Macaca mulatta: one gene and its partners. The protein of the gene in region 3 purifies or fractionates together with the protein of the main gene of each other region. This does not show direct contact. Links are inferred from orthologs where the notes say so. Each region holds a gene or a part of one and is shown on either strand. Other genes may lie near its edges. The genes, in order: UTRN, CTNNAL1, ADRA1D, SNTB2 and DTNA.

Region 1 (5,532 bases), on a different chromosome or scaffold from region 3:
TCCTGGGATGCAACCTTCAATACATCACTCCCATCCCATGGTTTACATCATAAAGAATATCAACGGTGCCCAAGTAATCAATTCTTTCTCTTTAAAAAAAAAAAAATTCCCAACATGTTGAAAAGTGAAAGGAAGCTCCTGGCCCTCTTTACCTGTAGCACATCCATCTGACTTCCTCCTCTGGCAGTCCTACTCTCTGGGGAGGTCGGGGGCTGAGAACGCATATTTCTTCTCAACTCCTCTAGGGTTAGCTCGTGGGCTGAGATCTCTGCTTGGATTTTCTACAAAGAGATTGGAAAGGGGAGAGGATGTCCTTTTGTTTTCTTAAGTATAAAAGGAGACAATACAAAAGTTCTATATCGTTGTATTATACATGATATTGTATTTTACATAATGTTGACCTCCACAGAAGCTTTAATAAGTTTTTGTAGTCCGGGAGCGGTGGCTCACGCCTGTAATCCCAGCACTTTGGGAGGCCAAGGTGGGTGGATCACGAGGTCAGGAGTTCAAGACCAGCCTGGCCAAGATGGTGAAACCCCATCTCTACTAAAAATATAAAAATTAGCCAAGTGCAGTGGCAGGCGCCTGTAATCCCAGCTCCTCAGGAGGCTGAGGCAGGAGAATCACTTGAACCCGTGGGGCAGAGTTTGCGGTGAGCTGAGATCATGCCACTGCACTCCAGCCTGGGTGACAGAGTGAGAATCCGTCTAAATAATAATAATAATAAGTTTTTGCATAATAATAATATGGCCCACTGCATGGTATGAATATTGTACGTGACGCCCATGCTAAGGTCTTTGCATTTGTCGTTTCTAATGTTCACAACTTATTTATAAGGAAGGAATTGTCCCAACTTCACAGCTAAGAAAACTACAATTTAAAATATACAGGACTTTTCAGCCAGGCACAGTGGCTCACACCTATAATCCCAGTATTTTGGGAGGCCGAGGAAGGCGGATCACCTGAGGTCAGGAGTTTGAGACTAGCCCGGCCAATATGGCAAAACCCTGTCTCTACTAAAAATACAAAAATTATTGGGAGGCCAAGGCAGGCACATCACTTGAGGTCAGGAGTTCAAGACCAGCCTGGCCAATATGGCGAAACCCCATCTCTACTAAAAATACAAAAAATTAGCCAGGCCTGGTGGCACACACTTGTAGTCCCAGTTATTTGGGAGGCTGAGGCAGGAGAATCACTTGAACCCAGGAGGCAGAGGTTGCAGGGAGCCAAGATCGTGCCACTGCACTCCAGCCTGGGTGACATAGTGAGACTCTGTCTCAAATAAATAAATAAATACATTTAATTTAATTTAATATATAGGACTTTTGCCAGAGTCTCACACAGAAAGCAAGAGAACTCCAAAACCCAAATGCTGCCCTGTAAGTAAGTCAATCTTTCCCATTGACTCTCGGTTTTGGATGGCAGGAGGGGTTTTCTTATGGTTGAGGAGGCAACTACATAAGCTCTCTTTACAGCTCAGAAGCCCTCAAATACATGGCAATACCTGAGCTTCCTGTGGAACTTGGAAAGCATCTACCCTGTCAGTCAGGTACGTGGTGAGCTGTTTGTCCAGCTCCCCCAAGCTCTCTTGCAAGACTTGAAGCATCTGGTCAGTTTCCCGCAGGACCTGGAGTTGCTTTTCCAAAGAAATCTGCTTGCTCTCTGCCTGCACAGAGGAGAAATTGAATCATTAGTTGCCCAACACAAATATAAATAGCAGAATATATATATTCTGGCCATTAAGAAAAGACTAGAAAAGCTTTCCTCCAAGACTTTAGCCTTCTTTATAAATAAATAATAATTACTAATGATAACAGTGAAAATGTCCCACTAGGATCTTATGTACCATGCAGCTGAATTACTAATTATTACTTCTTTCTATATACAATGTCGAAATACAAAAATGTAAAGGTTTCCCAAAAGATGCATTAAACAGAAGATAAAAATTTGCTATTTATTATAATTTTAAAGCATTTTTAGGAATCAGCCAATGTCTGCCAATAAGAATATAAAACATAAGAAAAATGTCTATTAATACATAAACATCAGAGTCTCTTTTTTTCCAAAGCCTAAAACAAATTCTATAGGTGTATATACATATCAAACTACTATTTACTGCACTTTTGGTTTAAGCTTGATGTTATTCATGGGCTGAACATCAACAGTTATTATTTAATGTGTTTGGAAGTACCTAATATTCATACCCAACCTTCCTATAAAAGAAGTGCTCTTTCTCTAATTCGTGATACAAATATGTATGTTACAACCTAGATATGAACTAAGAGACTATGGCTTTGCAGCTTATGTCAAATATCATGGCACTAATATTTACTAGGATAGTATGAGTTGTTGTTCTTAGATACAGCTATCATATGATCCTTAATGAAAATTAAATATTTTTCAAGTAGGAAATCATCTCAAAAATAATTTTTTTAATCATCAAATTCTGCCTTAGAGTGTTAGATCTATTCTTCCCTAGTGAGTACTTCAATACCCTCAATGCCCCTGTGAGCACTGGTTACCAACTTTAACCAACATTAAAGATTTTCCCAACATTAAAGCTCTGTGATATAGAGCTTAGGGCCAGCTCCACTTCATCAATACCTAATCAACACCCATGCACATCCCAACTCTCACCAGGTGACTTAGATCTTCATATCGGCTGTTGAAAGCCTCCAGTTTCTCACTGATTATATCATCCAGGATCCCCCCATCGATCAGAGTCTGGCCAAGTTCTCGAATCTGAGTGCGATTATCTGCCGGGTGGCGCAGAACAGATTCCAGAGACTGGAATGGAGATGGGGAAAAAAAATAATAATGCATTTACTAAGGCAAAAGGTATCAAGGATCCTCAAAATGTCTATTTGTTAAACAAGTAATTCTATTTTCTAAAAATCTACCTAAGGAACAGAACCAAAAATTAAGAAAATTACTAATTCACAAAAAATACCCATCCCAGTATTAAAAAATGCATAAAAATGAGCAATTAGCACACGTGATATATAATAATATAATTTCACAAAAATAATTTCAACTATTATTAATTATGGGAGGGTAAGACAGGAGGATCACTTGAGCCCAGGAGTTCAAGGTTGCAGTGAGCTATCATACCACTGGAATCCAGCCTCGGCAACAGAGCGAGACCACGTCTCTAAACAATAAATAAGTGAATAATAAAAAGTTAAAAATAATTATTAATTATACGAGGAAATGTTTACAATCTGAAACAAAGTTTAAAGGTGGAGACAGTACTATGCAAACAAAATTAGCTCAACTTTTATTAATTACGTTACTAAAAATAAGTACTCATTTTTCTACAATATACGCAGAATAAGAGGCATTGTTTTATATAAACACTTTTTATATACATAAATCTAATTAACCATATGGGCTAAATAGCATTCCCAGTTTACAGATGGGAAAACTGAAGCTCAGAAAGGTTAAATAACTTGCCTACATACATGCAGTCAAAAGAAGAGGAAAGATACCAACATGGCTCTAAAGCCTTTAAGACCCCAAAGCCTGGCCAAGCGCGATGGCTCACACCTCTAATCCTAGCACTTTGGGAGGCCGAGGAGGGTGGATCACTTGAGGTCAGGAGTTTGAGAACAGCTTGGCCAACATGGTAAAACCCCATCTCTACTAAAAATACAAAATTAGCTGGGGTGGTGGCACACGCCTGTGATCCCAGCTACTCGGGAGGCTGAGGCACGAGAATTGCTTGAACTCAGGAGGCGGAGGTTGCAGTGAGCCGAAATCACACAATTGCACTCTAGCCTGGTCAACATAGGGAGATTCTGTCTCAAATAAAAAATAAATAAGTAAATAAAAGATCCCAAAGCCTTTGATCCAATATACTACCATCTAGTATGCATATATAAAAGACAGTAGTTAGGAAGAAATCTACAAACCATTTTAAAATGTTTATCTTAGAGTTTTGCTTTACACTTTTCTTTATTTTCCATATTTCTAGCATGTACATGTATTCACTCTTACATTAGGAAAAAAAATTAAGCTTTTCATATTTTTCATTCACTCTGTCTCTCACTCTGCTATATTTGAGAAGTGACATCTTTTCTCTAGCAGAGCATCCATCTCCTGGAATGTAAGTGCCACATTTTACTCATTTCTGACCTTCAATCCATTTGTCCACTCAGTTCCCACATGGTACCAAGACATTTTTAAAAGCATATCTACCCCTTCCCCTTTTATTTTTTGTTAAGCAGACCCACCCCCTTTGTATTGTATTTCATTTAAGAAATGGTTATTAAATTAGCATGTGCTACACACTGTGGTGGGAACAGAAGAATAACAAGGTATCGGGTACATTTCCTGTCCTCAATGAGTTCAAAGTCCAGGCTTGAAGATAAGCTCCTACGACAAGATCCCATGCCTCAACCACTGTCTTTTAACTTCTAACATCTGAAGGTAAGAGACAGGAAGCCCCTGTAAACCGTCAGTGCTGTGTTTAGTGAGTAAAAATAACTTGTTGACAAAACAAGAGAGCAGTTGTCCTAATAACATATGGCAGAGCTTTGTCCAGGGCCTAGTAAAATAAACTGGAAAACCACTAGAGTGCTTCAACATGTCTAAAATTTACAAATTGTGAAACAGCTAACCACATCTTGAGGCTGATATAGTGGGTCACCAATAATCTAAATACATATGATTGTATAAACACTTCAGGCTACGAAAGAAAATGCAAGTGACATTGAAAATGACTGAGGAAGCAAATGCATTTGCCTGCGTAAAGCATTACATTCCTCATTGTAAACACGTGTGGCCTCATCACAACAAAGAGAAATGCCATGGAGACTGTGGGTTCCAACCTCCAGGGCTTCGTTGACAGCATCCGTCTTCTCAGGCAGGACCTCTGTGCTCTTCATCCGCTCTTCCAAAGTGTTTAACCAGGTGGTTTCAAGATCCAAATAGTGAAGCAGTTCAATCCAACAAGACCAGACCTCCTAAAGCATGAAAAAGTTTAAATTAGACAAAAAGCCATTTCATATATCGTGTATCTAGTGCTACACATTCTCTTTAATCACTAATAATTTCATCTGAATGTGAGTATATCTAGGAATTCAAAAACTGATGGAGTTGAAACTTCAAAAATAAAATAAAATAATCCAAAAAAAATCATATTAGACCAATTGGTGAGGGGTGTGGAGCAAAGAGTGGGCAAGAGGCTGCCTCACTCTTTAAAATAAATTCCATGATCTGATTTAAATGTCAAAAATACAACTATATAGTTAGTAGGAAAAACAAGAGAGAAACATTATTTAGTTTGTTTTTTAAAGGCGAAGTTCACACCTGTAATCCCAGCATTTTGGGAGGCCAAGGCAGGTGGATCACCTGAGGTCAGGAGTTCAAGACTAGCCTGGCCAACATGGTGAAACCCCATCTCTACTAAAAATACAAAAATTAGCCGGGTGTGGTGGCAGGCACCTGTAATCCCAGCTACTCAGGAGGCTGAGGCAGGAGAATCGCTTGAACCTGGGAGGTGGAGGTTACAGTGAGCCCAGGCCACACCAC
Region 2 (5,532 bases), on a different chromosome or scaffold from region 3:
CTTAATGATTTTGACTGTTTAAGGAACAATTTTACAAAGGTTATTAACAGAGCTGAATGCATCACATTTTCTCCCGAAGGACTACAGTGAAAATTTTCCTCAATAAAATATTGACTAGCTGTGGTCAGTTGACAGTACTGTGGTTCTTCCAGATCTTTTGTGAATACTGATTGTGGTGGCTTACCCAGATAAAGATCATCAGATGAGCTTATATTATCTACTGCCATTTGATAACTGGCATGCCCTGTTAGATTTCAAAATGAATGTCAAAGCATTAAGATACAAATACTATGACTGGAGCCCACCACAAAGTTGGCCATACTATATTATAAGGAGAAAACCTGTAAAACAGATCCTTCAATCATGACCCCACCCACAAAAACAAGAAAAGCTTTAAACTCCTAAATTTAAAAAACTAAACAATGATGTTTTTGTTTTATAGTGAACATTTCAAAGCCATATATATATATATATATATATATATATATGATGATATTCAGAATTTAGATAGCTTCTTGGCTTCCTTATTCTGTCTTTATCTTCCATTCCATCAATCAATACTGAGAAAGTTCAAAATATCTTTTAAGCCTAAAAGATAGGCTTAGAATCCCAGCTAATAATTCAGTCAGCTACGCTAGAACTAGAACCAAGGATTCTGTGGAGTTCCATTACCTTGCTTTTAGGAGTAGGAGAGGGACATACATAGCACAGCAGACCCACCCTTGCTGTATAAAATGCTTATTAGGGGACAAACTTGCTGCTCGCATGGATGATCTGGGACAGGGTCATCAAGGGGATTTTTGTCACACTTGGTAAAGAGAGGGATTGAAGAAGAGTCCACAGGTTTAAGGAAAACCCTGCGTTCACCCAGACTACTGTATGTTTGCTGCTGAAATTAGTGATCTAGATGATAAAGAAAGAAAACAGTTAAGGTAAAATATGCCAAAGGCGAACACATATTCAAAATAGCTTCTTTGGATTAAATTATCCTTTGGACAGTTGGGATATTTGGTTTGACTTTTAAAGAACACTAGTGCAATGTTCCATTTTTAAATCACACTACAATTAGAATCTAGCAATTGCCATGACATTTATTAGTTGTCAAAAAGCTTTACAGTTTCATGATCAGAAAATAGAGCAAAATTTCAATATTGTTTTCTTTATAAAATTGATGAATATCCAAAAACATAAAGGATCATTTGCTTTTTTAAAATGTCAGCTTCATCACATGATGTTCCCGAGATCTGATCCCATAAGCCTCTCAAATTTTACCATCCATACTGTCCTTATTTGTAACTGAGATCCATCCGTTATTTTCCATCTGAAGCTGGAAAGAGTTAAGACAATTAGTATCTGTTTCACTCTGAAAAAAAATTACAAAATTAAGTAGTAACTATTTTCTTTTGCATTTTCCTTTTAACCAATTTTTAAAGTATGAGTCTAAAATAGAAAAGCTATCTCACCTTCTTCAGCAGTTTATAACAAAGTGAAAGAAGTTGGACTAAGAGAGCCATCATGGATCTTGTCTTTGTAATACACTTATCAACCTACAGTGACAAAAAGCATGCAAATGATATTCTAAAAGTAGTATTTAAAAGACCTTACCATTTATTTAGTTTTAACATGATAAAATTTTCTCCATATGGAAATCTAAGGGATTGTGAAAGATACATGGATTTAGGCACATGAGCTGACTTAAAGCCCCAGGACACAGGTGCAGGGGTCACTGCCTACATCTCATGTCTATCTCATGGAACCTCAGCAGAAAGAGTGGGTGGAAAATTCATCATTCTAATGCAGGCTGTTTAGGGGCTTCCCAAAACACTCCAAATAGTGGAATTAAATCTCATCCTTTGCAATTCCTTGCACTCTGCATTGTGGGCACAAACCCATATTCTCTCAGACAAATTATGGGAGACCAGACTCGGAGGCACCTGTGTCCTAGTTACAGAGGAAATGACTTCAGAATTGAAGGGTAGCTGCTCAGTGCTATGGAATTAATGATGTCCCAAAAACTACTTTCTTTGGTGAATCTGCTACTCTCTGGGGTCAGTTATAAGGGTAGATAATAAATGATTCTTGTAGACAAGGCATGAAAAAAAGGAAATAAAATTGCCCTTCTGTGGGTATTAACACTTTATTTGAAGAAAAAGGGGCTTTCCCTAACCAGATAAAGATAGATATGTGAACGTTTTTCAAATGTCTCTTTTACCTTTAGAAATACTTTATTCTGCAAAGAAGTCTTAGTTACTGTCTGGAGCTGGTGGCATAGAGGAATTAGCTTGTTTATTTCCAGGAGAAGCATAAGCTTGTCATCGTCTTTCAGCTGAAATATAATTTAGCAAGTTATAACAGCCCGCAACAAAACTCCATCTTTAATACCTTAAATACCTTTATACCTTGATATTATACCCCCAAAGTGGGTATATATAATACCACCACCAGCACCAGGCAGGTAGACATGTGTTACCTGTTTTGAAAAAGCTTGTACACTGGAAGTAAGTTTTAAACCCTCTGCAGCAAAAACCTGATAGAAAGAGAAAACACCACTATTTTAGACTGATGTCTATGGATAGTTGGTAAGAAATACACTTACTAATGTTTTTTACATAGAATTTAAAAAATAAAGCCTAGACATAAAAAGTCTGTCATGGAACTCCTAAACTTTTTCCTGTACCAGGAATGCACAAGTGTTTACCTGTTTTCTGAAGGAGTTTTCACAGACCAGATGCAGAATCCATCCCTGGAGAGGCTTCTCTACACCAGACCTCCAATTATTCTGGAGGGTCACGCAGTTGTGTGATATTCAGCCACACAAATTATGTCTAGATTACTCAAGGGACCTAGAGCTCATCTCAAATATGCTCAATTATAAAAGGATGATGAATTTTCAAGCATGAGGTCAAAAGGGTTAGGACCTTCCCACTTCCATCTAGGCAAGGCAAAATTTGTCACCCATCCATAACCAGACATTTGAGAGAACCAATCCAGGTGGTTGGGTTTTGTTCCGGTTTTTTTTTTTTTTTTTTTTTTTTTTCAGATTAATTTTCACTATTCACCATGTACCATAAATTCTATAATTTAGTGAGATGAACAGGATGATGGAGAAGAACCATGAAAAATAAGGTTGGGCAGGTATGATAGAAGTATTTAGGATATTATGTTAAGATGGTTTGCAGAGTATTTCGGAGTGAGATGCCAGGGGAGTAAAGGGAGGAAGGCTTAGTTTTAGGTGGCAGCAGTAATAATGGAGAGAACAGGGAAAATCTGAGAGTGATTTGTGAATGAAAGTAATAGGTCTTCGAAATAAATTAAAGAATACTAAGAAGGAGGAGGCAATAATTCCAGAGTTAGTTTTTACCCTCTATTCAAAAGGCTTAACACCTTGCTATCATTGGATAAAGTGATCTCAAGGTCAAATCGTACTTTGCAACCTTCCCTTTAAAAGGGAAACCAGTAAACTTTACATCTAAATTCCAACCAAATGAAATGATTCACTTCCCCAAGTGTTCCTTATCACTTCATGTTACCACTTTCTATTCTGCACACTTTCTCTTTCCCTCTGGACTGCAAACCCCTTGGGGACAAAATCCATATCTGTCTCATAGAGTATGATGGTTTTAAAACTACCTGAAAGCTGATAACTCCCAAGTCTGTCTGCACTCCTGAACTATCCTGACATCTGTCTTGTACAGCCATCCCTCAGTATCCACGGGAGATGGGTTCCCAGACCTCTCCAAGGATACTAAAATCTGTAGATGCTTCAGTCCCTTAAATAAAACAGTGTAGTATTTGCATATAACCTACACGCATCATCCCATATACTTCAAATCATCTCATCTCTAAATTATAATTATAGTTCATGTAAATACTAAGTAAATCGTAGTTATACTGTATTGTTTTTCCCCCCTTGGAACTCTAACTTGTTAAAATGTATTTTTTTTTTTAACTGTAGTTATGTTTTATTGGTTTTCTTCTTTTTTTTTTTTTTTTTTTTTTTTGAGACAGGGGTCTCACTCTGTTGCCCAGAGTGAAGTGAAGTGGTGGGATCACAGCTCACTAAAGCCTCGACCTCCCAGGCTCAAGCAATCCTCTTGCCTCAGCCTCCTGAGTAGCTAGGACTACAGATGTGTGCCACCATGCCCCGCTAGTTTTTATAAATTATTTTTTGTAGAGACAAGGTCTCACTATGTTGCCCAGGCTGGTCTCAAACTCCTGGACTCAAGTGATCCTCCCAGCTTGGTCTCCCAAAGTGCTAGGGTTATAGGAGTGAGCCATTGTGCCCAGCCTGTTTTTACTGTTTTGGATATTTTCAATCCATAGTTGGTTGAATCTGCAGATGCAAAACCTGCAGATAAGGAAGGCCAAGTGTATTTCCTATCTGACCTGTACTTAACATGTGCAAAACAAAATGCTTGATTTCCACCCTCTAAATCTAGTGTTCCCCCTCAGTGTTCCCTGTCTCAGAAAATGGCACTACCACTTACTCTGTTGGCCAAGCCAAAAACCTTACTTAAAACATAATAGGATTGGCTGGGCGTGGTGGCTCAGGCCTGTAATCCCAGCACTTTGGGAGGCTGAGGTGGGTGAATCACAAGGTCAAGAGATGGAGACCATCCCGGCCAACATGGTGAAGCCCCGTCTCTACTGAAATACAAAAATTAGCTGGTTGTGGTAGCGCACACCTGTAGTCCCAGCTACTCGGGAGGCTGAGGCAGAAAAATCACTTGAACCCAGGAGGCAGAGGTTGCAGTGAGCCAAGATCGTGCCACTGCACTCCAGCCTGACAACAGAGTGAGACTCCGTCTCAAAAAAAAAAAAAAAAAAAAAAAAATTTTAAGTTCTCCCCATGGCCTACAGAGACATCATATTTTACCACTTTCCTTCTGGCTCACTTCACTCCCATCTATAATTGCCTCCTTACTCTTGTGATACACCCAGCCCTACCCTGCACCTCAGGGCTTTGCACTTGTTTTGGCTATCTAAAATCCTCTACCCTCATTTATCCATTCAACTCTCTCACTTCATTACTGTCTCTACTCAAACATTAGCTCCTTAGAGAGGTCTTTTCTGACCACCCCTCTACCACCTCTGTATTCTAGTCCTACATGATTTTATCTCCATGTACTTACATATGTGCACTGAATGCTTAAATTTTTATTGTCTGTATTCTGCCACTAGAACATAAGCTCTATGGGGGCAGGAGCTTTGCCTTGTTCACTTTTCTCCACAGAGTTCTTTTCTCCCAGATCTGACATATAGCACAAGTTCCATAATTATTTGTTGAATGAAGTATGTGATTTTATGTTCATCACAGTTTGGAGACAATTCAATGGACACTGGTTTAATGACTAAGCTCACATAGGAAGAAGGTAAGTAGTGGATCTTTTGTAGTAGAACAACCCTACAGGGCGGTATGACAGAATGGACTTGGGCCAAACTGGAAAAAAAAAAAAAAAAAAAAGTCCAGCATTTATTTCAACTATCTTAAGCGAAATAGCTCATTTATAGTCTAGAGAAAAATCTGGAGGA
Region 3 (6,105 bases):
CTTGCGTTATTGTTTTCTCCTTATTTGTGCATTAAACTAAAATTTTAAAGGAAGTTAAAAGGAAAAAAAAACAGGGAGCTGGCATTCTACACAGGTCGGGCATTCCCTACAGGGGCCCAGTGTGAACCAAGGGGCAGGGGTTGAATGAGGGTACCCAGGAGCCCAGCACAGCTGGGCAAGGCTGGAGCAGGGGTTGGGGCGATGGGCCTGGGGGATGGGCTTGGGTGTCTAAAGGGGTGGGCACCAACTTTTTCCTCCCTGCTTACTTACCTCCTTCTCCTAGTGTGTTGCTTAGGTTCAGCTGCTTGCCCCATCCCTGCAACAACCTTTGGCTGGCTGATTTTCAAGGGTTACTTATTCATTTCTTACCCCGTATTGAGTATCCACTACAAAAGCTACATTTCCACGATGGCCCTATAGATAGGCATTATTACCATCACCTCTTCTCTATTTTATAGATAAAAAAGCAAGCAGAGAGGGGTTAAGGGATTTGCCCATGGTTACACAGCTAGCAGGAGAGAGGCAGAGCTGGGATTGGCGCCAGAGCCTGTAGTCCCCACTGCAGTGCTCTCTATTGCTCCCCACATACCAGGCACCGTGCTGAGTGCCGTGGACTCAGTGATGACCCAGGTGACACCGCCCTGCCCTCACACAGCTTCTGGGCCAGTTCCAGAAACACACCAAGCAGCACACAGATGTAATTACGACCGATGATCTAGTGAAGGAAGAGAACCTTGTGCTTCAAGGGAGAAAACAAGGACACGACTGAGGGTCAAGGGTCCAAGAAGGTCCCTCTGAAGAGGGAACATTTAAGACCTAAAGGATAGAGTTGGCCAGGAGGGATTGGGAAGGGCAGTGAAGACAGAGAGAACAGCAAGTGCAAAGGCCTGAGGACAGGCATGGGCTCCGGCAAGAAACCCGGGAAGGGTCAGAGGGGAGGAACCCAGAGCAGAGGGAAGCGGCAAGGCCGTGAGGGCAGAGGGGGAGAGGGCAGAGAGGGAGACAGCTCTCATTTGAGATCTCCATTGTAGGAAGGGGGACCACATGTCTGCATGGCTCCAGTTCTAGCCTGTGGTCCCGGTGTAAATATTCATAGTGTCCTATTTTGGTTTGGACAACAATGCATTTGAAGGTCACCCTCTCATAGGTGATGATAGAGAGTTTGGATTTTGTTCTCAGGACAGTGGGAAAGCACTGAGGGCTTTTAATAGGAGAGTGACACATCTAATTTATAATATATAAAGTTCACTGTGGCTGCAGTGTGGAAAGGGCTTTCGGGGGCACAGGAAGGAGGCCATTGTCTCTTTCCTGACTCAGCCTGGCAGTGTGGAAGGGTCCAGGCCTGGGAAAGGCAGAGAAGGCCCAGCTTGGGCCTGCGGAGGTTGCAGCCATGGGTGGATCTGACTCCCGGCAAATTTGTCCCCAGAGATGCTCTTCCCCCTCTACTCCTTGCACTGGTCCAGCCTCCAGTCCCAGACCCGGGGCTTCCAAGAGAGGCCTCAAGGGGTAGAAGGCGGCCTCTGAAAACAGCTGCCCACCTCCCAGGACTGCAGGGCAGCTTGTGAAAGAAGCAGGAAAGTTCCCCGGAAGAGCTCAAGGACTCAGTAAGCTCAAGAAATAACGATTAACAATATGAACTTTCCGTTTGATAATTTATCCCTATCCCTGTGCTTCTCATCGCTACACAACCTCCTTCCTTTCCAAGAGGGGATTTCAGAAATGAGAGCCCAGGGCACTCAAAAACACAGCTGGGGAGGGTCTCAAAATGGGGCCAGCTTCCAAACTGAATGAGTGCTGGGGAAAAGCGGGTGGCTTCTGGCATCTGCTAACGTACCTGTTGACTGGCCAGGGCTCGCTGCCCGTGAATGAACACATGGAGGCCCACCCACTCTGTGCACCCACCTCCAGGGAGGGGGATCTGTAGGGGGACACACACACTGCCGACCACATATGGGCAGATGCCTGCCCAGATTTTCACAGACGTTTTATTTTTAGAGGGGCCAGCAGCATAAGCCCAAGGCTTGGAAGAGAAGAAGGGAAGGACAGAAAAGTTAGAAGCCTGTGAAACAAACCTGGCGAGGATGAAGACCCTCTCTTTGGCACTCCACAAAATGGTGCATGCACACCTGCCTCTTAGGAGACTCAGGACTTGCTAAGCCAACTTTCCAGGTTCAGGTGGGGGTCGCCCAAGTCTGGGTGCCACGAGGACACCGCCATAGGCTCAGGGAGAACAGGAGGGGCCGGTGGGAGAGGGGTCACTCACCGAGCGGCAGGACAAAGAAGAAAGGGAACCAGCAGAGCACGAAGACGCCCACGACGATGGCCAGCGTCTTGGCCGCTTTCTTCTCACGGGAGAACTTGAGCAGGCGCACGGAGAGCGAGCTGCGGAAGGTGTGGCCCTTGGCGCTGCGCAGGCCGTGCGCCCCGTCGGCGCCCGTGGCCGCGCCACGACAGTGGATGCGCAGCACCACCTCGGAGGCCTTGCCTCGCTCGCGCTTGACGCCCGCCTCGAGGCTGCGCGTGGTGCTGCGCGCGACCACGTACACGCGGCAATACATGACCACGATGACCGCCATGGGCAGGTAGAAGGAGCACACAGAGGAGAAGACAGCGTAGCCCGCCTCCTCGGTGATACCGCAAAAGCGCTCGTCAGGGGGCACGGGCTCCTTCCAGCCCAGCAAGGGCCCTACGGACACCACCAGGGCTACGACCCAAAGCAGTGCCAGGATGGCGGCCGCCTTGCGCTCGGTCATGATGGCTGGGTACTTGAGTGAGTGGCGCACGCCCACGTACCGGTCCACGGAGATGGTGCAGAGGCTGAGGATGGAGGCCGTGCAGCACAGCACGTCCACGGCGGCCCACACGTCGCAGAAGGCCCGGCCAAAGGCCCAGAAGCCCAGAACCTCCATGGTGGCCGAGAAGGGCAGTACCGTGGCACTCAGCAGCAGGTCGGCCACGGCCAGGTTCACGATGAAATAGTTGGTGACAGTCTGCAGGTGTCGGTTGCAGGCCACTGAGAGGATGACAAGCAAGTTACCTGCCACGGCCATAAGGATGAAGGCTGCCAGGAAGACGCCCACACCCACGCCCTGCGCGCTCACCACCAGTCCCCCGACGGCCGCCGTGCCATTCACGTCGCTGCCCGGGCCAGCGCTCCCCGGCTCCCCCGCGGAGCTCCGGTTGTCCTCGCCGCTGCCTGCGCCAACCACGCCGCCACCGCCGCCCGCGCCCCCCGGCACGCCGCCCACCGCCGGGCCCTCCGAGGGGGCCGCGCCGCCCGCGCTGCCCCCGCCGCCGCCCGCGCTGGAGCCCCCTGCGCTGCTGTCCGGGCGGGGTCCCTCGAAACTGACGCTCAGGAGATCGCGGAAAGTCATCTCAACGCGCGGCCGTCGGTGGCCGGGCCGGGACGCAGAACGAGCGGCCGGCAGGGAGGGAAGCACAGGGCATAGCCGCGGGGCTCCAGATGCAGCTCCGCACGGTCTTGTTGGGGTCCTGCCTAAGTTCCTGTGACGCGGAGCGCGGCTGTCCGAGAGCGGAGCTGCCTGGCCCGGGCGGCGGCCGGGCTCCCCGAGGCCGGCAGTGGACTAGCACCGAAGAGCCGGGGCTGGCGACGCGCGCGGCGCTCTGATCGTGCCCAGCAAGCGGGCAAAGCGGCGGCTCCGGGGCCGGGCGGTGCAGGCAGCGGCCACTGCGGCGCTCCCAACTCGGCGCGGGGGGCGGGACCGAGGAGGGGCAGCGCCAGGAAGGAGGAGGGGGCGACCCGGGCCGAGAGAGGGGCGCCACACCCCAGGGGAGAAGGGACCCTTCGCTCAGGACAAGCGAGTGTGTCGGGGTCTAGGGGGGCTGCGGCGCTGGCGCGTGCTCGGGTCCCGCAGCAGCCACCCACGCCTGTCCGCAAGTGCCCAAGCCCGCCCTCTCCCCTCGCGGTGCCCTTTGCTTTCCTTCCCGCTCCTCTCCCGGACCCCCTCCCCCTTGGTCCTCAGCGGCGTCCCTGTTTCTCCCGCCCTCTCCCCCGAGTCTCTCGGTCACTCGCTGGTGCCCTTGGGCGCGCGGTGCGTTGAAGGCGCGAGTCCCGGGTCTTCGGGATACCGGCTTTGGCCGCCAGAGAGCAGCAAGCGCCTGGGATCTGGGGACTGCGGACCGGACGGCGCAGTGCCGCTGCGGGTTGCCTCCTGGGACTGCCCATATGGATCTGCCGCACCTCCTTTTTCTCAGGCCACTGGCCAGGGCAGGGTTTCAGACACCTCTGCCCAGTGCGATGTCGTGAAGAGCGCCCAGGAAGGGTTGGAAACCTGTTCTGGGCTGAGGCTGGGTACGATGGGCTCAGGAGCAGGATGCTGTGGCTACAGCCCTCGGACCCTGCCCAAGACACGCTGGTCTACATACACTGTTACTTTTCTCTGTATCAGATGCGGGAATAAATCTTTCTGTAGCTACCTACCCTAAATAAGGGGCCTTGTTCTTGTTCTGGCCTTGTTAAGAGGGAGGGTGTAAGTGCCGGAGGGTGGGAAAGGGCACTTGGCAGGATGGTTAAATGGGGCGGGTGTGAGACAGTCTGGCTCCGCATCTGAATCCAGGCTCCGCCCCATATTAACTGTGAGACCTCTTTGTGCCACAGTTCCTCATCTGTAAAATGAGAATAAGAAGTGATGTCTACCTCCTGGCCTGAGGGTTAACTGAGTAAATATGGGTGAGGGCCCCAGAGAAGTGCTTGGGTATGTCAGCGGAGTAGGGCTTGTTCAGGGCAGGCTTTTAACAGGGAGGATGGAAGGCAGAGGAGGTGTGGGGCTGGTATGGACTCCGGATGCAGGTGTGGGAGAGGGTATGAGAAGCTTCTTGAGCAGCAGCAGGACTGGGTAGGGAGAGGCTCAAAGAAATCATACAGTTAGCCAACATAAAAATACCAGCTGCTGGCACATGGCAGGCACCATGCTGGATACACTAACTGTAAGGAGGGTAATGCCATCTCATAGTTGCAGAATGAGGAGGGCTTGAGCCCTACCAGGGAGATGAGGGCCTGTTTGCAGAAGTGTCTGGGAGGGGACAGAGAACCCATAGCCCTAGTGTCCACTGGTTGTGGTTAACACAGGGGCAGGATGTCTGAGTTTTAGATGAGAAGCTGCTTTGGAGAAAAAGTAAAAAACTGGAGAAATGTTGAGAGATGGGTGACCTCCCTCCTCTCCATTGCCCAGTCCAGGAAGATAAAGCTTTTATAATCATATCTTGGAAACAGCTCTTCCATGGCCTTCCCCATTAAATCTTTTATTTTGGTTTTTGGAAACTTACTATAGTGAGTTGAAATGAAAGCAACGTGACTTCTAGGGATTAGCCAGCAGCTGACCAAAAGTAAAATCTTGGGTTTGGGCTTCCTCTCTGAGAGGGAAGGGACAGTGGGAACTGAAAGAGGAGGCCAGGAGCTCCTCTCTGGGGAGAGTTAGATGGCAGGTCAGTGTCCATGGGTGGCTGCTGTCACATAGTGTGGAATAGGTGCAACCCTGGTGGAATCCATTCGATTCTGGGATTGGCCAGTTTTCAAAGACTGGGAAGAGGAGACATAGTTAAACCTAGAGCTGGGGCTGGGGTGCTGGGGACTACTTGACTGGTGTCACATAGAGATGTGTGCCTGATTCTGGTGTGGGGAGCCAGCAGAAGGCTGGTTGGAGGTGTTCCTGCCAGCAGGGTAGGAAGAGTTGTGGGATAGAATGCCTGGAAGAAGATGGGGAAGTCTTTCCCCATTTCAGGTCTTGGTGGTCCTCAGAAGTTCTGCAAGATGATTCCAGACGTTCTGGAGCTCTTGGGAAATGAATATGGAAGGACAGTGGTTGTGAGATCGTTGTGAGTTTCCTGTACCTGCTTATCAGACGCTGAAATCCGGGAAGGGGCCGGCACAACGTGCTGGTGGCAGGGGCAACAAGAGAAAGAGCTGTCTCTCTCTGAAAGGAGATCTTAGCAGTGGAGGGCTGGGATAAAGCTCAATATCATCCCAAGCACACCATTCACACCCAGATCTTTGCTTGGATGCCTCATGAGCACCTCGAATTAAGCATGTTCCTAAGTTAAACTCACCATCTCTGACACTAAAATCTTCAACTTACTGTATTCACT
Region 4 (5,532 bases), on a different chromosome or scaffold from region 3:
GAAGAAGAAGAAGAAGAAAAAAAAGGAAAGTACAAAAATATTCAGTGACTTTATTAATACTAACTCTATACTGGAAATTGCTCAAGTGACCATCAATAAAAAACAGATGAACAAATGGATATTTCCTTTAACAGAGCTGAGATAAATTTAAGGACCAATGAGCTCCAAGTTATTTTATTATTTTATTTTTATTTTTATTTCTTTTTGAGACAGAATCTTACTCTGTCACCTGGAGTGTCCAGGCTGGAGTGCAGTGGCACAATCTCGGCTCACTGCAACCTCCGCCTCCCAGGTTCAAGTGATTCTTATGCCTCAGCATCTTGAGTAGCTGGGATTACAGGTGTGTGCCACCATGCCTGGGCAATTTTTTGTTATTTTTAGTAGAGACAGGGTCACAAACTCCTGGCCTCAAGTGATCTGCCTGCCTTGGTCTCCCAAAGTGCTGAGATTACAGTCACGAGCCCCCTGCCCCAAGTTATTTTATAGATTATTATTTATTCTCATTCTAAAGTATATAGTTGAGCAGATATTACGACCATTCTACAGACAGAGAAAACAGGCGGCCAGAGAAATTAAGGAACTTATTTAAGGTCACAAGGACACTAACAATGCCTATAATAATAACTTGAGAACTTACTGATTCTATAATTACTGTCTTATTTAATCCTCCTATAATCTTATTTTATACAGGGGAAATGCAAGGCTTGTGGAAAACAAGTAGCCTGACCAACATTACGAAGCCTATCTTCCTAACTTCTATCTTCTCTCATAACTGAGGTCTAATTAGTTAATGGTTCTGTACATTTTTTCTGCCAAGACACACAGATGTTCATATTCCCATAAGTATAGCCGAAATTATGCATATTTTTTGCAAACTCCTTGTAATCCTAATGCTCTTATGTCTAAAAAGCACATGGAAATGCAAGTATAAGTGGTATCATCATAGGAATAACTTTGAATCTCTTCCAATTTATATTTTACAAAAAGCAAATAATGTGCAAATTTTTTTATTTTTAAAAAATTTTTTTTGAGACACAGTCTTGCACAGTGCCATAATCTTGGCTCACTGCAACCTCTGCCTCCCGAGTTCAAGCAATTCTCCTATCTCAGCCTCCCAAATAGCTGGGATTACAGGCGTGCACCACCACACCTGGCTAATTTTTGTATTTTTAGTAGAAACGGTGTTTCACTGTGTTGGCCAGGCCGGTCTCAAACTCCTGATGTCAAGTGATCCACCTGCCTTGGCCTCTCAAAGTGCTGGGATTACAGGTGGGAGCCACTGCACCCGGCCAAATTTTGATATCTTAAGTAAAATTAGAACAAGTTGCTTTGAAGCATTAAGACTGAGAATCTCAAAACTAGCGTGGATCTTCTAAGACCTTTCCTTATATAGTATGCCATGGTCAAGTAGACTGATCATTTATTGAAAAGGAAGGTATAATAGCACAACTCTGGTAGCCCCAAACTGCCCTCTCCATTTGGTTCTGAAGACCTACTTCACATGTGACCATCACCAAATGTCTTTAGCGTATAAATATGTCAGAGAATTCAGCCCCCAAGTTTTAACAAAGACCAAGGTTACTGGACTTCAATCCTTAGTGAATGATGAAGTAGCACAACATTTAGCAATACAGCCAAGTCATATCATCTTCTTCCTTCTTTCTTTGCCCACTCCCACAACCCTGGGTTTCTATAGAAATTTTATAACATTTTGCCTTTTTCTTCAATACCCAGCTACATCAGCAGCACTATAGGTACCTATTCTCAGAAATAATTTATTGCCGGGCGTGGTGGCTCATGCCTGTAATCCCAGCACTTTGGAAAACCAAAGTGAGTGGATTGCTGGAATCTAGGAGTTGGGGACCACTCTGGGCAATGTAGCAAAACCCTTTCTCTACAAAAAATACAAATATTAGCTGGGCATAGTGGCATGTACCTGTAGTCCCAGCTACTTGGGAGGCTGAGGCAGGGGAATTACTTGAGCCCAGGAAGCAGAGGTTGCAGTGAGCTGAGACCATGCCATTGTACTCTAGCCTGGGCGATGGGAGTGAAGCCTGTCTCAAAAAAAAAAAAAAAAAAGAAATGATTTATAACAAAATTGACTCTGTACTTTTCTCAGCCTGACAGCTAGTTGACAAATGTAGTTGTAATTTGTTTTTCTTTATCACATTGTTTCTCTATTCTATTTAATTCTCTATGGTCCCTAACTTAAAAAAAAAAAAAGCCCATAATTAACAGACCAACTGCTCTATATAAATGTATCTCTTTTCTCTCTCTCTCTCTTTTTTTTTTTGGTAGAGATAGGGTCTTGTTATATTGCCCAAGCTAGTCTTAAACTCCTGGCCTCAAGCAATTCTCCTGCCTCAGCCTCCCAAAGTACTGAGATAAGTGTGAGCCGCCACCATGTCTGGCTCAAATGTATCTCATTTATTTTATTTATTTATTTATTTATTTGTTCTTGAGACAGAGTCTTGCTCTGCCACCCAGGCTGGAGTGCAGTGGTGCAATCTCGGCTCACTGCAACTTCTGCCTCCCAGGTTCAAGCAATTCTTCTGCCTCAGCCTTCCAAGTAGCTGGGATTACAGGTGCCTGCCACCACACCTGGCTAAGTTTTGTATTTTTAGTGGAGACAGGGTTTCACCATGTTTGCCAGGCTGGTCTTAAACTCCTGACCTCAAGTGATCCACCTGCCTCAGCCTCCCAAAGTGCTGGGATTCCAGGCGTGAGCCACCTATCCCAGCCCAAATTAAATTATTACTTTATGAAAAGAATACAAAATTTCTTTAAAGATCAAGCTGTGTTGCACTTAGATGATTCAACATACATACAACCTTCCAGGAATAAACCTATACGTAGCACAAAGTAATTTCTACAATGTCTTGAACTTTTAAAACAAAGCCAAAAATTTAAATATATCAGAATATAATTTTCAAAACGTGTTTACATAGTAGTCAGTTAAGACTTTTCTTGGCCGGGCGCGGTGGCTCAAGCCTGTAATCCCAGCACTTTGGGAGGCTGAGGCGGGCGGATCACGAGGTCAGAAGATCGAGACCATCCTGGCTAACACGGTGAAACCCCGTCTCTACTAAAAAATACAAAAAACTAGCCGGGCGAGGTGGCGGGCGCCTGTAGTCCCAGGAGGCTGAGGCAGGAGAATGGCGTAAACCCAGGAGGCGGAGCTTGCAGTGAGCTGAGATCGCGCCACTGCACTCCATCCTGGGCGACACAGCGAGACTCCGTCTCAAAAAAAAATAAAAATAAAAAAAAGACTTTTCTTAAGAGACAGGATATTGTTCTGTCACCCAGGCTACAGTGCAGTGGCAAAATCCTAGCTCACTGCAGCCTTGAACTCTTGGGTTCAAGTGATCCTCCCACCCTAGCCTCCCAAGTAGCTAGGACTACAGGTGCACGCCAGTAAGTCTGGCTAATTTTTTTTTTAAATGCCGTAAAGGCAGCGATTCACTATGTTGCCCAAACTGGTCTTAAATTCTAGCTTTAAGCAATTCTCTAACCCTGGCCTCCCAAAGTGCTGGGATTACAGGTGTGAGCCATTGTGCTCAGCAGAGTTAAGACTTTTTAAAAATACTATTTCTTGAGAACCTACTGTATGTGCTTGGCTCTGTGTAAGGGCCTTTACAGGTACCATCTCATATAATCAGCACACTAAGTATCATTATCCCTTTTTTTACAGATGATGATATGGTGTTGTATAGAAGTGAAGGGACTTGCTCAGAACCTTACTTTGAGCAGGTGACCTAGTTGGGATTCACACCAAGATCTATCCGACTGCAGAGCTCAGTTCATTCCAGCAAACCTTGTAAAATACTACAGAGCAGAAGCTTTGAAGCCTTAAATACCCAAGGAGGCCTTAAAAACCCAAGGAGGCAATTCAGTTTCTTGGTGTCTTCTGTGCTCCATTCCATCCTGATCAGGCACCTGGCTGTGCATTAAGATCAGAGGAGACCATAATAGTGAAAACACATTATAAAAAGTCTGTCCTTAACTATGTCTTTGGGCAAGTTATTTTCATCTTATTTTTTCCCCTAATCTCTAACTTAACATTCGGTCTACCAGTGCCACTTCATGGAGTTAATGAAGACAAAGTTACAGAACACATATGATTATAGAACTAGGAGGGACATCAGAAATCATCCAATCTAATTTTCTCATTTTGCAAATGAGGAAACTGAGGTCAAGGGGAGCTAACTTGCCAGAGTCACACTGCTGGTTGATTCAGCCAAAACCATAATGCAGATCTCTAACTCTATACTACCTACAGTCTAAGGAATTTCCATCTAAGGAGATACTTAAAAATTTCTCTTTAACAAGAATTCTTTCAATTATAAAGTAATACATATTCATAGTGAAAAAAGTAATAACAACATTATGGAAAGATATAAAAGGAAGAGAAGATGCCCCCTCTTTCTTTCTCTCCCTTAATCTTATTTGACACCTTAGGGGTAAAGCCATTAACTGTTTCTTGTGTGCCTGTCCAAAATTTTTTCTACACATATACATGTATATATGTAGAATAACTTAAAATGTGGAACCCCAAAAATGCATCTCTCACCTTAGACTGATGTTTTCCTCTGTATAATTAAGTTAACAGAGTCATATAATACTGCAACATGTCCTTAAGTTTGTAAAGCTGTAGGTATGATGATCTTGTTAGGTACACCTCACCTGTTTTCCAGATCCGGCATGCTTAGGTTTCTAGCAGCAAAGCACATTTTGAGAGGGATGATCTTCCTGTCTTTGGTGCTGTTCTGGTGTTTTGGCGAACCAGAGTCCTCACTGCCACTAAAGCTTGGTGACTGGGGGGCTGCACCTTCCCACGGCAGATCTGATACTAATGATGGCTTCTTGATATATGGTGTTACTTCTCGGATGAACTTGACTATGAACAAAAAAATCAAAGAAGGTGGTTAGTAATTTTGCTTCCTATAATAAATGATAACTAAAGTATTCACATACATGCTATATCTATAACAAAGTGGGGGAAATGGCTGGGCGCGGTAGCTCACACCTGTAATCCCAGCACTTTGGGAGGCCAAGACAGGTGGATCACTTGAGGTCAGGAGTTCGAGGCCAGCCTGGTCAACATGGTGAAACCCCATCTCTACCAAAAATACAAAAAATTAGGTGGGCGTGGTGGCACACGCCTGTAGTCCCAACTACTCAGGAAGCTGAGGCAGAAGAATCGCCTGAACCCAGGAGGCAGTGGTTGCAGTGAGCCGAGATTGTGCCATTGTACTCCAGTCTGGGCGACAGAGCAAGACTCTGCCTCAAAAACAAACAAACAAACAAAGAAAAAGTGGGGGAAAAAAAGTAAGTTAAAGAGCCATGAATCCGCTGGAGATAGATTCAAAGTCAGACCCATCTAGGCTTTAGATGACTCAACCTTTAGAAACTTCTCCATACTTCTACCCATTGGTTCCCTGTCTTCTCAAGTCATATAAAACAAACTTAATCTCTCTTTTACATGAGAACTCTATAATTATCTGAAGACAGATTTTTCTCTTCTCTCTCCTC
Region 5 (6,184 bases), on a different chromosome or scaffold from region 3:
AAGAAAGAAAATGACTATATTACATTAAACCTAAATCACTCTTTGCAAATAGGTGAGTAACCACATAAAGCTAGCACATGCCCCGTGTGCTTTGAAAAAAGTACTGATAGTTTTGTAAACCCTCCCCCCATGTCCACGGATGGATAATGAGGTGAAACAGTATGTCTCCTGGTGAATACAGAAGTAAAGAGACAACTAGAGTGACACATATCTCTGATTCAGAACATAATTCAGAAAATTAACATGCAAGCATTTAGTAAAAGATTACTGGAATTAGTACACACCTTCTCACGTGTCATTCCCACACAAATATGTGACTTTTCAGGCACCTTGTCCTGACCTCCATGTCTAGTCCAGAATCCTTTAATAGATATTCTCATAGAACTCCTTCTTTCATTCAGGAAACCTACCTCAACTTACAAGTAATAATTTATTGGTATAATTATTTTATTAAAGCTTGTCCCCCTGTGCAGTCAGGGCTCACAGATCTTTCTGCTCACTATTGAACCCCACTCTTGCACCTCACACCTGGAGAAAAGAGGCTCTGTAGAAGCAGAGACAGTACAGTTCTTTCAAACTAGAGGTGTGGGACTTGAAAGGAAAAGGTCATGTCAAAACTACCAAGTGAGATAAAAGTAGCAAGCTGTCTCTAAAATAAGTAACAGAAGCTAGAAAACTGGAACGCTGAGTTAAGAAAGGATATATGTATGTATCACAGAATTTGTCTTGATAACAATCAACACTATATATAAATGGACTTGGAAAAATCAATTCAATTTCAATATCAAAAATACTTGTGACTGATGGCATACAAGCACTCTGACCACAGGACTGCACTGTAGCATCCCAAAATAAAGATGTAGCCATATTTCTGGGGTGTGTGTGTGTGTGTGTGTGTGTGTGTGTGTGTGTGTTTCGGGGAGGGGATGGTTAACCACTGAAGAGCTGAATATTTTTTCTCGTATCCACAGATCATGTTTCCATGCCGTTTAGTTGGATTCTAGTCTCTTTTTACTTATAATGTTGAGTAAGTGTGAGTTTGAAATTATATATATTGAATTTAATTAAAGTGAAAGATGAGAATTAAAGGAAATCTATGAATGTCAAAATAATTTTGAAACTCGTTATGTGAAGAAGCAATTAAAGTTTACTTGAAAAAAAATAACAGATGAAGACTTAAGAGACATCTGCCCAATAAAATGAATATTGTGAAAGCTCTATGATAAGCTCAAATGAAGAGTAATTCTCTAAATATGTGAGAGTAATTCTCCATGTAAGTTGGAGCTCACCCCATTGAGACCTTTCTTCACATCATGGTTCATTTAAAACAAGTGGAGATTTTAAAAGTATTTCAACTTAGAACTAATGAGAAAATCTGATTTCAGTCTTCACTGCTACACAATTCAGTATAAAGTACATACAATTGGCTAAATGACATGACAAACTCGAATGCCCTTAAAATACAGCTTGCTTCTAATCACTGATAGTCCAAAGAGAATTGCATAATTCTTTTAAAACTGCCCAACTCTCGCCAGAGTGAGTGGATTAAATACAACTAAACTTGCTCAAAAATCTGCAAGATGGTGGTGTTCTGAAGAAAACGATGGCCATGATCTGAACAAAGAACCGACTAATAACCTAGGAAATTTAAAATTAATTGCAAACACATAGCTTTAGCCATCTGCTTTACAATAATTTACCTTGTTGATACATCTTACCTGCTGAAAATCTCAACTTTGTTGTGAAATGCAACTTTAGTCACTGTAGGACATGCAACTTTAATTATTGTAGGACACTTGGTTAATTGTGGTGAAAGGAAACTACTCAAACATTATTTGCCATAATTTTAGTATTGAAAGTTAGAATAAGAAGAAAAAGTGGAAAAAGAGTTAATTATTCTGAACATGCAGCACATACCTATTAAGGCTCATCTTCATAGAAAGATGTGGTCAATATAGAAGACTTTAGGTATAATGAGTTGATTAGGGGCGCATGAAAAGTCCAACTAGACTCTAACACTTAATAAATGTATGACCTTGGGTAAGTTATTTTGCCTCTCTGTGCCTGGATTTTCTCACCTGCAAAAGTTGTTTATTAATATTATCTACCCCCCTGGTGGTCTAAGAATTAAGACGGTGAATCAATCTAAACCATATAGAACCGTGGAACATGTGGAACACTTTTTTCCTAAAGTTTCCACCTTTGGAATAAGCAAAAGAAAAAAAACCATTATTTTTTTAAAGAAATCAGTAACTGTACACTTCAACAGTACAAGTATCTCTTAGATTAGAAAGGAAACACAAGCACATTAAATGCCAAGTGATGACATATAACAGGAAAACATAAGCATCAACTTAAAAGACAATTTTTAGAGTAAGAACCTAAAGCATGGTAAGCTTCACTGCAAGGTACATCCAATATCTGCGCCTCCCTCTGCCCCCTCCCTGCCAAGTTCTACAGTTATCTTCCCAAAGTCATACCCTAAGCCTGCCAAAGAGCAAAGTTTTACCATCAAGTCCCAGGAGTGGTACCACTGATTCCCAGCCCCGGGGTCGCCACCCCCTTCTCTCTTTGGCTTTGGTCTTTTGACAGACACCTCTCTCCACCTCCCACTCCGGATAACAGAAGGAACCTCCCGCCTGCCCTCTGTCCAGCAGAAAACTTCGAAGTGGGCAACAGGCTATAAACGCCGAAGACACTCACCCCCGTCCCCACCCGTCCCCGCCGCCCCCCGTCCCCAGGGCCCAGAGCCCACTCCCACTCTGGCATCGGCCCGGGCACCGCAGTGCATTGCAACACGAGAGGACGCCGCTGGCTGCAAAGGAAACCATCGCGGATGTCCCGGTCAATACCCCTCAGACTGTTCCCCGACGTGAGTATCATCCCTAATGGAGGTAGACACGCCACCTCCCACCAGCTCAGCACGCGAGGATGACCAAGAGGGCAGCGACCACAACAAAAACAACTCAACCCGCGACGCGAGGGAGCCAGCTGCCATCGCCACCCCCCGAGCGGCGCCGCGGCAGCAGCGGGGGCTGCGGCGCTGCGGGGGCCTTCGAGGGCGGCGGAGATTTACCTGCGCGGCCCCGCGCCCCCAGGCCGGACATCCTGCAGCAGCCGCTACCGCCGCCCCGCGGGCCCGAGGCGCCGCCCGCCGCCCGGGGAGGCGCCGCGCCGCAGTCCTGGCTGCGGCGCCCGGCACATGCTTCGCGCTAGCCGCGGCCGGCGCCGGCGCACAGGTGGGAACCCCGCGAGTGGGCGTTGAGGCGAATCCCTGCCCCCGCCGGCGCTCTCCGCCCGCTTCCACTCTTGACTTTGGTCGGTGTGCGGCGCCTGCCCTTGCTCCAGCGCCGAGCCGCCTTTGCCCGCGCCCCGGCGCCGTGGGCGGCTGCGGTCCCTGCGCATTCGGGGCTGCGCGTCATGTGCACCTCCCGCCCCGCGGCGGGCCCCGCTGCACCGGGCGGCCGTGGGCAGCGCGGCAGCCCGGCCTCGCGCCCACTCCTCGCCCGGCACACGGACCTCCTCCACCCCCGCGCCCTCCCCCACTCTGGAGCTGTCAAGGAAGAAAACGCCTTGCACACACCTTGGAATGGACGGGCGCTTCAGTCACCGACTCACCAAACTCTTAGAAGGCGTCCATTGGTCTGCAGGGAGGTTTGAGCCTGGAGTAGGAGCCGCTTTCTTATTATTTAATAATGTTGGAAGTGCCGGGTCCGCTGCCAGAGTTGTGGGTCATGTGGGCACAGCAGAGGCTGGCTGCTGCCAGTACCAGGGTTTCCTGAGGATCCTGAAACTATGATCTCATCCTCCTCATCCGCCTCCCCCGCCCCTCTCTCCGCGGGCGCGCACGCACAGCACACACACACACACACACACTCTCACACTGAATGCACTATCCTCCTTCCTGGACCGAAATATTCCTCTAGGGAAATAGTGGGCACGCTCATCATTGAAAAAAAAAAAAAAAAAGAAAAAGAAAAAAAAGAAATCCTTCCAGATAGAGATTTTTCTCTTCCAAAGCTTGATTTATGTGCTTTATTTCCTCCAGTTTTCCCTCACACGTGCAGGAGATGGGAACAGAGACTCAGAATTAAAATTAAAAATAATTATTATCTTATGTTGACCCAGATTTTGGTCAGAACCCAAGAACTTAAACAGTACAATTTCAATTTAAAACAGAGGCAAAATATACCAGGCTTGAATATGGAATATTCTTAGATGTATGCAGTGGGTTTCTTTCCCAAGCTGCAAACATTCCCCAAACATTACCTCATTTATTTGCAGAGCATCTTTGCAGAGGAGGTAGATGAAAAGGCAAATAGTATTGTCACTTCAGAGACACAGAAGCATAAGTAAGATAACATGACCTACCCAAGTACACATAATAAGTCAATATCTCACTATAAATATTAATTGCACAGCTACTCACAGGTTGCTTTTTCACTGTAATCAATTCTCAGATACTTAGGTTACTGAAAATAATGAAAACATTGTTGATTATTTTTAAGTTACCGAGACTGAAAATTATTTTTTCTTACTATATGTATGTTTTCATATAATTTTCTCTAGTATTGTATTTCCAATTTCACGTTTTCATATAATTTTATTTCTTTTTGGGGGAATGTGTTGTGTGTATGCATGTGTATGCGTACATTTATATCCAGTTGCATTGTTTAAATGCTTAGATAGTAATTTCTAGCAAATTGAGCCAATGTTTCTGAAGTAGTCACCAATTTCATAATTTGTATATGTCATTGAAACCCTTTTCACCTGGTGTATATGAAGAGCTATGCTACATTTTGAAGGACATAAAGAAGTTTAATACAAGTACTTTTTAGTTTACATCTAGTTGTTGAGACAAGATACATATACTGAATGACTGCAGATAAAAATCTTTGTTATTTTGGTGTTGTGAATTATCACAAAGAAAGCACAAGATACTTTTATTTTCTTTTTACTTAATTTCTCTTCCATGTTAAAATCATCTCATTTGCCTATGTGCCCTATATTTCAGTCTTGTCATTAACCCTCCTACCTTCTAAATGGCCAACGTAATTATGTGTAACCTTGCCCTTCTCTTACACTTTCACCATACTCACATAAACAGTAAATGGGGAATGATTTATATTGTAAAAGTTCTCAGAAAGAACACTCTTGGGTAGCTTCTTTTCAGTGTAGATAAGAAATTCGAGCAGCTAACTAGCCTTCTAATAACCCAAAAAGAAAACAAATAGTATGAAAGAGAGAATGGTCAGAGAAAAGGCAGAAGAGAAAGGAGTCAAGAGGGGGGAAAAGGAGGGGGAATGAAGTTACAAGATAAGAAAGTAAAGAAGAGAAGGAAACAAAAGGAGAAGAAAAAGAGGATCAACTTTCATGTGAAAGCTAAAATTTTCCAAATTTTGGTGCATGGAAAACAAATTCAGGAAATTGTGGACTTTCTTACTGAATTTTTTCTTTCTTAAACAAACTTACAGGAATTTGATGGCAATGACACCAGGTGTCGGTTCTGCAGAGGATGTACTGAAAGATCTCAATTTTTAAAAAAGTATAGGATCCACTAAAAGAAATAACTAGACTTATTAGTATAATGTAATAATAAAAGTGACAGTGGGATCAAATAGCCATGGCATATACATTTTTAAGAAGAAATTAACACTGAAATTCAGGGAGATAGATGGGAAAGCAAAGACAGTGGTATAATAAAGTAGGCAATGAAGAGATAAGCTTGCAATATTTAAAGAAAATAATATTAATAATAAAATATTTTAAAGTACTTTCAGATTTTTCCAGATCTTTTCATACATTTTTATGGAGTCTAATAATAATCAGAAGTAGACCCCTTTATGGACTTCATTTTTGAAGTGATAATTCTTCCTAATTTTTTATAATACATGTTGAATGGAGAAGTACTGAAAATTTTCACTCATTGTTTTGAAACTATTATATTTTCTGATAAGTCAACTCTAACTATTGCTTAGTGTATCTTCTTCCAATACTTCTCCTAAACAATAAGTCTAGATGGATTTCTGGGCATAGATTGTAACACTGATTTATAATCCAGGATTTTACACATGCCATTGGAGTTAAACTAGAAGCTTTAGTGTGTAGCAGACTCTAATGGCTTTGCATCATCCTGGGAGATTTCCGCAAAAGAGATGGAGGGCTAAATTGAACAGCAATATAT

Evidence for each region.
Region 1: the proteins of ADRA1D (region 3) and UTRN purify together in Homo sapiens (tandem affinity purification; 4 studies listed by BioGRID and IntAct, with this or other methods). This does not show direct contact. The link is inferred for Macaca mulatta from reciprocal best matches to the Homo sapiens genes ADRA1D and UTRN.
Region 2: the proteins of ADRA1D (region 3) and CTNNAL1 purify together in Homo sapiens (tandem affinity purification; 3 studies listed by IntAct, with this or other methods). This does not show direct contact. The link is inferred for Macaca mulatta from reciprocal best matches to the Homo sapiens genes ADRA1D and CTNNAL1.
Region 4: the proteins of ADRA1D (region 3) and SNTB2 purify together in Homo sapiens (tandem affinity purification; 4 studies listed by BioGRID and IntAct, with this or other methods). This does not show direct contact. The link is inferred for Macaca mulatta from reciprocal best matches to the Homo sapiens genes ADRA1D and SNTB2.
Region 5: the proteins of ADRA1D (region 3) and DTNA purify together in Homo sapiens (tandem affinity purification; 4 studies listed by BioGRID and IntAct, with this or other methods). This does not show direct contact. The link is inferred for Macaca mulatta from reciprocal best matches to the Homo sapiens genes ADRA1D and DTNA.

The regions. Positions count from the first base shown.
Region 1 is NC_133409.1:49,741,428-49,746,959, reverse strand, and holds part of UTRN (utrophin), read right to left. Parts: intron 4,965-5,532; coding exon 4,830-4,964; intron 2,788-4,829; coding exon 2,638-2,787; intron 1,667-2,637; coding exon 1,505-1,666; intron 282-1,504; coding exon 153-281; intron 1-152.
Region 2 is NC_133420.1:49,463,061-49,468,592, reverse strand, and holds the end of CTNNAL1 (alpha-catulin), read right to left. Parts: intron 2,528-5,532; coding exon 2,471-2,527; intron 2,327-2,470; coding exon 2,213-2,326; intron 1,548-2,212; coding exon 1,464-1,547; intron 1,328-1,463; coding exon 1,262-1,327; 3' UTR 1,074-1,261; downstream 1-1,073. UniProt on the Homo sapiens protein: May modulate the Rho pathway signaling by providing a scaffold for the Lbc Rho guanine nucleotide exchange factor (ARHGEF1).
Region 3 is NC_133415.1:79,801,681-79,807,785, reverse strand, and holds the start of ADRA1D (alpha-1D adrenergic receptor), read right to left. Parts: upstream 3,779-6,105; 5' UTR 3,375-3,778; coding exon 2,264-3,374; intron 1-2,263. UniProt on the Homo sapiens protein: This alpha-adrenergic receptor mediates its effect through the influx of extracellular calcium.
Region 4 is NC_133425.1:64,864,184-64,869,715, reverse strand, and holds part of SNTB2 (beta-2-syntrophin), read right to left. Parts: intron 4,898-5,532; coding exon 4,684-4,897; intron 1-4,683. UniProt on the Homo sapiens protein: Adapter protein that binds to and probably organizes the subcellular localization of a variety of membrane proteins. May link various receptors to the actin cytoskeleton and the dystrophin glycoprotein complex.
Region 5 is NC_133423.1:57,982,542-57,988,725, forward strand, and holds the start of DTNA (dystrobrevin alpha), read right to left. Parts: upstream 3,391-6,184; 5' UTR 3,077-3,390; intron 1-3,076. UniProt on the Homo sapiens protein: May be involved in the formation and stability of synapses as well as being involved in the clustering of nicotinic acetylcholine receptors.